Arabidopsis thaliana: one gene and its partner. The protein of the gene in region 1 interacts with the protein of each later gene in a pairwise test. Each region holds a gene or a part of one and is shown in the gene's direction. Other genes may lie near its edges.

Evidence for each region. Proteins that work in one complex are often made in the same cells at the same time.
Region 2: the proteins of GEM (region 1) and CDT1A interact in a two-hybrid assay, tested with the Arabidopsis thaliana proteins (one study listed by BioGRID).

What each region holds. Positions count from the first base shown.
Region 1 is NC_003071.7:9,539,151-9,545,591, forward strand, and holds GEM (GRAM domain family protein), read left to right. Parts: upstream 1-1,977; 5' UTR 1,978-2,372; coding exon 2,373-2,709; intron 2,710-2,809; coding exon 2,810-2,911; intron 2,912-4,784; coding exon 4,785-5,056; coding exon of another isoform or gene 5,057-5,092; exon of another isoform or gene 5,093-5,439; coding exon 5,440-5,628; 3' UTR 5,629-5,888; downstream 5,889-6,441.
Region 2 is NC_003071.7:13,326,909-13,332,361, forward strand, and holds CDT1A (CDT1-like protein A), read left to right. Parts: upstream 1-1,953; 5' UTR 1,954-2,128; coding exon 2,129-2,469; intron 2,470-2,548; coding exon 2,549-2,668; intron 2,669-2,996; coding exon 2,997-3,231; intron 3,232-3,315; coding exon 3,316-3,957; intron 3,958-4,083; coding exon 4,084-4,285; intron 4,286-4,379; coding exon 4,380-4,470; intron 4,471-4,551; coding exon 4,552-4,636; 3' UTR 4,637-4,923; downstream 4,924-5,453. UniProt on the Arabidopsis thaliana protein: Member of the pre-replication complex. Component of the plastid division machinery. Promotes polyloidization and regulates endoreduplication. Involved in the coordination of cell and plastid division.

The sequences.
Region 1 (6,441 bases):
TCTGAGATCAGTTAAGTATTGACACGTGTTATGTTTATATTGGTTTTTAGATATGATTTGACTCTGCGTAATTTGCTTTTTGGTTAACCGCGTTACAATGCCAGGCGTAAATTAACTTGAGTTTTGCCTAATGTTTCGTGGAAATAACGCGTTTACGAGTAAATAATTAACATTATACGAAAAATGGGTCATTATTTAAGTTCATATTCATATATAGTATGTCTATCAAAATTTTCAACTGTTAATTATTTTAGATGTATATTATAATCGTTTCTGTTGAAAAAAGTTATTTTATATGTTTCGTTGTAATGTGTTATCTGGACTGATTATACGAGCAAGGGCTGGCAAAAGCTGTCATATTTTCATGTTAATTAAATTAATAAATTAGTAGATCATTATAGTTATATTTATGGTTTTTATTTTGTTGCAATATTCTAGTGACAGATTACTTGGTGGCCATTATTGTTACAAACTTACAACGAAACAGTCAAGCAAACGCGCATTGTTCATATTCTACAGCTATATCATTATTACGGTGTGAAATGCTTCATTTCAATAAGAACCTACCTAACAATTATTTATATTCCTTGAATAATAAATTGTTAGACTCTTGCTTTGACCTTAATATGCATTGTATCAGTATCTTCTTCATAAGAAAATTATAAGTTGAAAACTTTTTTCCTGCCAGCTTTGACCAAATGAATATATTAAAAAGTTACCAATAAAGAAATTTTAATTAATTTGATTAGTAGTACAAGTTTGGACGAGGCCTTGGCAGGCCTCTCTTTCTAGCTTTTCGTGGATGTGGCCTAACCTCGTAACTTTTCGTATTTTATCAAGCCCAAAGTAGCTTTCCGTTATCACTTATATGAAAAAATCTAAGATCTAAGGGGAGTTATTGATTAGTATTTTAATTTATAATCTATATACATTAAAGAAAATAGAACATCTTGAAACCTCTAAATAAATACACCGTGCTTAAAAAACTTCACGAGATATTCAATTGATTTTTTTTTGTTTAGAATATTAAATAATCAATACTCCATTAGATGTCATTTACCCAAAAAAAAAAAAAAAAAACTCCATTAGATGTTATTATTGTAGATTGTACCAATAAACTCTGATATATAAGTCCAACAAAACTCCATTAGCAGTAGTGTTGGTAAGCTCCCCATATTCTTGGGCTTTAGTTTCAGAAGATTTCATGTTATCCGTCGGCTTAGTTTATGGAATTATCTTGTTAATCGCCACTTTTATATAATTTCATATATAATCTATCTTTTAGTGCAAAAAAAGTAAAAAAAATAATTTCAACGAAACTCAAGTTTGGAACCGCAATCCAATTATTTTAATCAAATCATTGACTACCGAAATATTTTTCCACCTTCAAACAATCTAAAAAGAAAAATAATTTTTTTGATCAATTCACCAACGTTATTTAGTTTATAAAACATGATAAAAGATCCTCCAAAAATATAAAACCTAGACTTTCCTTAAATTTTAAGAAGTGTACTTTTGTTCACTCAATTTATTATTTCTCTGCCAAATTCTCTATATTCTTCACACGTAATTACTATCTAGTTCTCGTCCATTTCCTTTATCATTTTCTCATTGTCTTGTAAATTGACCACTCTAATGATCTCTATTATTTCCTCTAGAATAGAGTATGATTTATCTCCAATCTATCACTCTATATATAGAGTAATCCTACAATTTTCTCTATTTTAAAGTAACATATAGAATGAGGATGGAGAGAATGTACTATATCATAGAGTTTTAGAGGACAAAATTAAAGTGGGATTGGAGATGCTAAGTATGTAAATTTGGTTCGGTTAGCTATCATAAGGGACCGAGTGCTATATGACAATGTATTATAGGTAAAAGAAGTGATATTGTCTCCTGTAGATTTAGTGTCCTTAACCGTTCATCAAATCTATGTGAATCTCAGTAGTAGGTAGTTGGGTGAAGAACGTGTGAAGTCTATACAACTCATATTACTCCTCAAACATTTTCTGATAATATATTGCATACATTGAACCTCTTTTTAAATTCAAAACATCAAAGGTATTGATCTTACATAGAAAAAAACATAGACTCTTATGTTCATGTCCCTATTGATCTTAGTCATACCTCATAATTGTCTAACAAAGAAAATCAAAGGTATCATAATTATCATCATATGTAATGTAGGGAACAAATCTGTATTTACTGGTATATATATATAACACAAAAAAAATTACCAAAGAAAAAAAAAGAGCAAAGGGAACGATACCATTAGTCCCAATACCAATCCTTGCAAAATTCAAACTCAAACAAACCGTTTATCTCACGCGCCGCCGTACTCGCCACGATCCGTCTTTGGAGACCAATTTATGGAGCCGCCGAAGGGAGATACCGTAGTGAAGACTGAGGTCCCGGTGAAGGATCCATCGCTAAGCGTCGTCGATTCGAAAACGAAGGGAGTCGAGGATGCGAACACTGAGATAGCCTTGTCCGATGAGGTTGAAATCGAGACGAAGGGAAGCGATTCGACACCGGTGAAAGCTCCGAGTCGAACATCGTCTGGATCGAAGAAATCTGTACATTGGAGCCCCGAATTGGTGTCTGGATCTCAGGAACCGGATCAGAAAGCTGCATCGTCTTCTTCGGCTGGATCTAATCCGTATATTGCTCGTTCTCCAGCTGAGACTTCAGATGCTTCGTTGAAAGGTAAGAGTGTTGTGATCGTAGCGGTGAGAATTGAGATTGTGTATTGTAGCCTTATTTACCTTTTTGTGGATCTCTCTCTGTGTCTGTGAATTGGATTCAGATACGATGGAGACTGTGAAAGGAGTGCTTGGTAGATGGGGAAAGAGGGTTGCAGAAGCAGCAAAGAAGACGGAGAGCCTTGCCGGGAACACATGGCAACACCGTAAGTTTTCGTTTTTTTTTAATATCAATTTGTAATCAAATTCAATGCTTAGAGTTCTGTGGAATCAAGAATTGTTCATAGGGTATTGTTAAAAGTAGCTTGTTCTACTCAAAGTCTACATTTTTTTAGAGAAACATAAAAGATTTTTTTTGCTGTATTATGGTTTTCTTCCTTTGTTGTATGTTGGTGTTTAGGTTAGTACTGGTTTTAGGATTGAGTAACTATCATCATATTCGATAGTGCTCAAGTGTATTTTTATGATCTTCAATTCTTTGATCTCTTTTCAACATGTTGTTGCTATAAAATGGGACGTTCTTACTGGCTTGTGTTGATAAATTTTCTTAATTACAAACAGAACACTCCCCTGAATTTCAGTCTTTAGGCAGTACATTAAAAGACAATGACCTTTGATCTTGTTGAGTTCTTGCTAAGAATAGTAAACGGACTATTTTAGTTATGGAATCATATTGTGTTGGAAGAAATATCTCGGTTTTTCTCAGGTTTATCTTCATAAATAGTTTAGAATCACAATTGTTCTACGTGGATCTCTTGCCTTCGATTTGTCTCCAGAACCAAGATTAATACCACATCTGCTCGGTATTAGAGGATGATCTTTTGATATTGTCAAGTTTGTGATCACAGTAATTAAAAAATCTCTGTCTTGGATTTGAACAAGAAGATTCTCCCAGTTTCAGTCTGTCAAACTTTGTAGCTTGACCCATGACAAGTGTTTATAAGAGAGTCGGAATAACCTTAAAGCTGTTTTTTCTCTGTGTGATGTTTGCAGTCAAGTTTTTAGTAGATTGTCTGGTAACAAATAAAATATCAGATTGAAATTAGGTGCTCTGGATTAGGTATTAGTTGCCATGTTACTTCTTTGGAACTTGGAATTTTAATGCCTTTGGTGAACATTAATCAAAAACGCCATTTGACGAATTAAGAGCTGGATATTAGTTTGACCTTCGGACATGGTCATTCGTGATGTAGTCTAAGTAGTAGGGAATTAGCTCCTAGTTTTGAGATCAAAAAGCCTTTTTGCGGACTGAAGAATTACCACTCTAATCAAGTGATGTTCTTGGTGGTTTGGTGAATGTTTGAGCAATGGAGGTGGAGGGAAAATGTCTGATGACTAGCTAAAACTATAGAAATTGGGGAATTAAGAAAGTTTACACGATTAAATTTATGTTTAGAGTGTTCATGTGTGAACTCTATAACTCATGTCTTCCTTGATTGGGTGTGTTTTAGTTGTCCGCTTCTCTAGCATATTCTATTCAGGATTCGTTTGAGTGATCTCTCTTACAATCTTCTACTTTAGTCAGTGAGAACTGCTCCAGTTTTTTTGTATTTCATATCATGTTTGAATCGATCTTCTATGTTTAGCATTGTTGGAATGGATGTTTGCGCTCAAATATAGTAGATCTTTTGTTAAAGAAGTGAAATATTGAATAGATGCTCCGGAACAGATAGAGTTGCTATATTGCTTTTAGGAACTTGGATTAGATAATACATTTGGATGAACATTAAAAAAAAAAGAAGAAACAGCCTTTGGTGAGTTAGGAGCTAGAACTGTGGATATGAGTTTCAGCTTGGGACATGGTCGTGTTATGGATAGAGATGAGTTCCTGGGTAAGTGTTTGAGTAATGGAGTTTGAGGGAAAATGTCTAATGCCTGCATTTACATAGTATGGACGTAAAGTTTGAATTTGGGTGACTGAGAAAAATAACATGATTCAATATACGTTTCAATTGTTTGTGTGTGAACTCGCAATTCATCTCTTCCTTGATTGGATGTGCTTTACTTGTTTGATTCGCTAGCATTTTCATTCAAGATCTATCTGATTGATATATCTTATAATCTTCTCTTTTTAATCAGTGAGAACTGCTCCGAGTTTTGCGGATGCTGCAATGGGAAGAATTGCACAGAGTACAAAGGTCTTTGCAGAAGGAGGATATGAGAAGATATTCCGACAAACCTTTGAGACAGATCCCGAAGAACAGTTGCTAAATTCTTTTGCATGTTACTTGTCAACATCAGCTGGCCCAGTTATGGGAGTTCTATATATATCCAGTGCCAAACTTGCTTACTGTAGTGACAACCCTCTCTCCTATAAAAACGGTGATCAAACCGAATGGAGCTATTACAAGGTAATGTGTCCTACACCTTTCATTTCAGAATTATAGCCATTTTGAAGACACCATATTATTACTTTTGTGATCATTAACTGTTCGAAATCTGTTGGCTGGTTATCTGGTCAATGCTTGAGACAATGTTTCGTTATAATTTGTTAGTAGCATCAACTAAGGAGCCTTCGTAGAGTGATTCATTTGGATAGAAAAATAATCTGGACTTGTTAACGGAATCATAAATCCATGGACTTTTTTTTTGTGATAGTAATAACATGATTGCATCAGCTTCTCATCTCTTGTTTCATCGAAACCAATCCGATACGATTGCATTTGCTTATTCATTGTAATAAGCTTTGCTACATTGATGATTGATGAACACTTTGTGTCTTCTTCTTAAATAGGTAGTAATTCCATTACATCAACTTAAAGCAGTGAATCCATCAGCGAGCATAGTCAATCCTGCAGAGAAGTACATACAGGTGATTTCGGTAGACAATCATGAGTTTTGGTTCATGGGTTTTTTAAACTACGACGGCGCTGTCACGTCTCTGCAAGATTCTTTGCAAGCCGGTGCTTTAAGGTCGGTGTGATACATAACTGGATGACTGATGACCATAAAAGCATGTTGATCTCCACCTCTTCTTGCTTAGTCATATCAGAAGACTCAAATTTTTACATTATTTTGCATTTAATCTCAATATCCTATTTACTACAGAAACTAGCTGAATTTTACAAATTTACTTTAAAATGTTTTATCTTTTGATATTTTTATGAGAAGACAGCTTAATTGCAATTTATTCAATAGCAGTTGCTTTTAGTTTCTATGTTGAAGAACTCTGAGGTAGTAGGATCAACAAATGTGAATTCAACACGTCCCAGGGACAACGGACTATTAGAACCGATTCAAATTGCTTCCACCAGTGACAACTGAAAAATATACCGAACCAGTAGATCTAAGAAACGAAATTTACTCGCACCCATGTACGAAATTGCCGCACAACTTTTGATATTTACTAATTTGCCCCAATAAAGTTCAAAATACACAACTCCTTTGACTTCTGCAAAGCATCAGCTCGAAAAGTATTTTTTTTTTTGTGTTAAAGGGTTTATCAGCTCGAAAAGTATTTCATTATCTTTTCATCGAATCAGATTCAACTTACGAATTATAAGAGCATCTGATTAGGATTTATTCCAAAGATCACTAACTAAATTCGAAATTTATTCACAGAAGTTCTAGTCACTAATTTTGTTGAAGACGATTTTTACATATTTAGAGGCGTGATAAATATTACAGACAAAAAATGAAGTTAGATTTTGTTTCGTACTTCTTCGTTAATCTAAAGAGCCAAAGTACTGTGATCTAACACTGTCGTTGTGTTTTTTTTGTTTTGTAAATTTGGCAA
Region 2 (5,453 bases), 3.8 Mb from region 1:
TATTTTTCACAAGAAGACGAAGCAAAAACGGCGAATTCCTTCCCAATAGAACAAGGGGTTTATCTACTTTTAACAGGGAAATGATCAGGAGCAATACGATTCTAAATTGAAACCTCAAAAACCCTTAAGCTAACACTATAATCTCCTCCAACCTTAAATCACAGTGCGATTAATCAAAAAAAATCAACCTTTCTCGATAACAGCAGATGAGAAAATCAAAACTTACCAGAGACCCACGAAAGGAACAGCAATTAGAAAGCGAAGGTCTATAAGCAGCTAGGAAGATATAATTGTCTTAATATCCGAAGCTTTAGAGAAGGAGGAATCAAATACAGAGGCTATGGGCAATGGAAAATTCGATGAAGAAGTTGAAAAGACAAGAATTTGATCGACGAATTTAGGGGAGAAAAGCAAAAGAAGAAGACGAAGAGAATTGGGTTTGCGTGGAAGAAAAGAGGAGTGATAAAATATTGATGCTTTGGAGTTTGGAGTACTAGTTTTCAATTTTCGATTTGGGCTTTTCTTCTTCCTCTTCTCTTCTCTTCTCTTCTATACAACATTACTTAACCAAAGAAACGTGATCACGAGTTCTCTTCCTCTTCTATGATTTTGGTTTTACTTTGATCTTTGGTTAAAAAGGTAATCTAACATTTATTAGCTTGAATCCAAAAAAGTCTTTGCACACACAAAAAAAAAAGTCTTGAAGCCAAAAAATTGTAATTTTTCTTTAATGTGATATATTGAATTTTATTTTAACAACTTGTATAATGGGCCGATTGTTTTGAGTGGGCACCGGCCCAGATTCTAAACAGACCCAAAAAAACAATAGTTAAGATGTACATTATATTACTAACTTTAAAATTGAGTTTTGAAAATATGATAGTGAGTCAGTTGACATAAATTTTGGATCTAGATCAGATTCTTGGTATCAAGATCAATATTTAGTCTCAGAGCATAATATAATACAAATTGATACATCTAGCTCCTTTAATTTTTTAAATGTTAATCAAAAATAAAAACTCATGAAAGTTATAATTATTTTATAACGGCATTATATTTTTTTTTGTCAACTAGACGATAAACCGATAAAAGAAATAAAAATTGGTATTTATTATTATAATCATCAAAACTTCATATATTGACATAAAACAACAAATTTAAATAAGAGTATATAGAGAAATAATAATATCGGAAAGTATAACATTTAATAAAAAGAAAAGTTGAAGTTTTGTTAGTAAGAAAATAGTAGTAATGACAATTGAAAAGAATCTCATAATCATTGAAAATTTATTGAATTCTTTGATTTAGAATAGGGATGTGGTAATATTCAATGTTTAATATTTATGTGTTTTCTTTTAATAATCAATATTTATTTCATGATTTTATATAGATTTCCTCATTAGCAAATATAATATAAAATAAAATGGAAACGACGAACCTTAATAAGAAAAAGTTCAAGTATATACAGAAATAACAATACCGGAAAAATATAACATTTAATAGACAAATAAAATTAAAGTTTTGTTAGTAAAATATTAGAAATGACAATAGAAAAAATATCATAATCATTTAAAAACTGTTTAATTCTATGATTTAAAATAAGGATGTGGTAAATATATTCAAAGTTTAGAAAGAGAAACATAGAAAACATAAACTAAACCATTGATTATATTTGATTTGCTGGGCTAACTGTTTTATCTTAATATTTTACTGTTGATAAGATTCCTTATGATGAGATTATCTTTGATTTTTCAAAAAAACTATAAATACTGAACAAGCAGCATAAACATTGCACGACGACCTTATATAAATCATGTTCATATAAAAAAAATCACAAGTTGAAAAAAAGAAATCTGGTCTCTTTGGTTTGCATCTATTAGATTCGTTCAGAGACAGCAATTCATAATGGGCCTAATTAATGGGCTTCTTCGTAGATAAGTGTTTTCGCGGGAAGCAACGGGTTAATAGGCGCGGGAGGTATACGTGGCTTTGGTACACGTAGGATTGCGCGCCAAAGACCTAAATAAATCTAAACCCTTCTTCTTCTTCCGTCGTCTTCATCGTCTTCATCTATCTCCTCCACTATCTCCTCTCTGCATCTGACACTCTATAGACATTGTTGATAAAAATGAGTACACCAGGCTCTTCTAGATCCATTCCATTCAAATCGAAGAAACGATTGGTGATGGATTCGCCGTCTTCGAAATCTCAAACCGGGAATCCAAATCCGTCTTCTGTAGCATTGCCTACGCCGGAAAAACCACTTGAGAACATGCTTAGTAGATCGAGAAACCGATCTGTGGCTTTATCAGTGAAAGAAATTCGTCAAGCCGCTGGATCTCGTCGCAGATCTGAAGATCCGGTTGCTTCATCTGCCAAAAGCAGGCTCTTTTTCGATTCATCATCATCTTCTCCTTCAAAACGTAAAAGCTCTAACAAAAATGCAGAGAAAGAGAAACTTCCGGAGAAGTAAGTTTTAATCTCTAGGGTTTATAAAAAGTTTCAATTTTTTCCCCTTTTTAACTGATTAGGATTTGGATTTGTGCAGGTACGAGAATCTGGGAAAGTTCTTTGAAGCATTGGATAATTCGATGTTGTTATCGAAATTAAGAGGTTCTAAGCCAACATTCTCCAACATTTCTAAACAAATCGAGCATTTAACCGAGAGGTAGTCTTCCTGACATTTCAATTTGAATCGTGTTTGTGATTGTCACTGATTGGATCTGATCTGAATAAATAAGCCAAATTTGGTTATTGCCTTTAAACTTTATAGAGTCGATAAGACAAATTAATAATCTAGATCGTGTTTATGGGATCTGATCTGAATAAATAAACCATTTTGATCTTTGCTTTTTATACTTTATAGGTTCGATGAGACAAAAGAATACTTTAGATCTGGGTTTTATAGATTTCTCCGATAACTTTTCTAGATTTTAGATATTCACGAGTCTGTTTCTGGTGTGTTTATATAATTCTTGTGTGGATGTATATTTCAGGAGGTTTTGTTATAGTCACTTGGCTCAAATAAAGCATATATTGCCTGAAGCGATTGAGATTAAGAGAGTATTGATACATGATGAAACTACTTGCTGTATGAAACCGGACCTTCATGTTACGCTCAATGCCGATGCTGTTGAATACAACGACAAGTCGAAATCGGAAAGTAAGAAAATCGCTCTTCGGAAAGTGTTTCGGGCTAGACTTGCGGATTTTGTTAAAGCTCACCCTCAGGTATAATGCCCTATCTATTTTAGTGATTTTGGAAGTTGCATTGTGATTTTATTCAAGTACTAATGGTGTTATTCTCTGTTTTAGGGTGATGAAGTTCCAGAGGAACCGCTTCCTGAGCCCTTCAATAGAAGGAAACCAGTTGAAAACTCAAATGTTGAAGTCAAGCGTGTTAGTTCTCTCATGGAAGAGATGGCTTCTATTCCAGCATCTAAATTGTTTTCATCTCCCATCACATCAACGCCAGTCAAAACAACTTCAAGTCTGGCTAAACCAACTTCGTCTCAGATTAACATTGCTCCAACTCCAACCAAACCAACTTCAACTCCTGCTAAACAGACTTTGTCTGAGATTAATATATTGCCAACTCCAGTCAAACCAGTGTCAACTCTGGCTAAGTTTCCTTCAACACCGGCGATTATTGACTCAACACCAGTCATTACTGCAACTCCACCTGAATTTGCTTCAACTCCTGCCCGGCTGATGAGTACTTCTCTGGCAGCTCGTCCGCTGAAAAGAAGCAACGGTCATACAAATCCAGATGATATTTCTGCTGACCCACCGACTAAGCTCGTGAGGCGTTCCTTGTCTCTGAACTTTGATTCTTATCCTGAGGATGAGAGAACTATGGATTTCACAGATGATATACCCATTGATCAAGTACCAGAAGAAGATGTATCCAGCGATGATGAAATACTCAGCATACTTCCTGATAAACTTCGACATGCGGTAATACATCTCTATTAGTGATTCCTTTTCTTCTCGTAATTTTGCTTTATACTTTTCAGTTTGAGATTAAGAAGTACAAACTGAGATTGGCTTTACTTACTGAGATTGTTTTTTTGCTCATTTCAGATAAAAGAACAAGAGAGGAAAGCGATTGAGGATCAAAATCCAGCAATCTCTCTGGCAAAAAGAAGGCGAAAGATGATCGCTTGTCTACCTAAACTTTTCAATGTCATCCATTACTTAATTCAATCGATAAGGCGTTGGGTTATCACAAAAGAAGAGCTTGTGCACAAGATCATTGCCGGTCACTCTGATATTACTGACAGAAGTAAGCCCTCTAACCACTAAGTATCTCATTATTACTTTTCTTTACATTGTTTGAAAACCATCCTAACTGTTCTTGCCTCACTTACATTTTTCAGAGGAAGTTGAAGAACAACTAATCTTACTGCAAGAAATTGTCCCTGAATGGATGTCTGAGAAAAAATCATCAAGTGGAGATGTTCTAGTATGGTGAGTCTAATATCTCACATATACTCAACTCACTTTTTCTTGGTTTTATGGATCGCTCATGTAAGCAACTTTAATATGCAGCATAAACAAGTTGGCATCTCCTCTAACAATCCGATCACGTCTTGAAGAAGAAAACAAGCAAGAGATGGCTCCACTGCTTTCTTGAGATCGTGGTTCCATCGGCTGCGGTTACTTTGGGTTCTAACTTATTTTTGGACTGCCAAATATGTTATAGTCTATTCATGAGACAGATGTGTAGAGACTACTAAGTTATAAAGTTCCTAAGTAAAGTAAAAGGGTGAAAACAAGTAGATGACAAACTATTTAGGAAGGTGTTTTCATCTTTTTCTGAATTATGACAATGAGGTTATTTCTCTATCAATAAAGAGTAATTTTATGCATTTTGTAACAGAATTCTTTATAGAACAAGACTATAAGGACCGTTGTTGTGTGAAGTATGGAAAGAGATCAGATTTAATCTCCCAACCATGACATATCTAAATCCTTGATGACAATTCTCTTTCTGATTATGTCCCTTTATATTTGATTAAATCCGTTAGACATTTTCATATATGTTAGGCAAATAACCAGTTCCTTTGGATCTAAGTTTAATTTCTCAAGCCACTTTAATACTCCTCTTAGTTCCTCTACCGAAGTTCCAAAGGGTCATTGGCCATTTGGGACTTCGGTTCCGTGAATTAGAAGAAAATTTCTGGTATATTGTGAACCCAATGTTCAATAATATTCAATTTCACAGCTTAAAAATATATTGGTTTATTTGCACAAGAGAAAAAGACAGAATGAAAAAAGAGAGAGAGGTGTGTTTCTGAGAGCATCATTTGGGCCTACTGGGCTTTCACAAAGAAAATCGCGCGAAGTATTAACGGACGGAATTCGGCGGGAGTCCACGTGGCACCATCACAAGTCGGATTCGCGCCAAATAACCTAAAATAAATACTAAACCCTTCATCATCATCATCGTC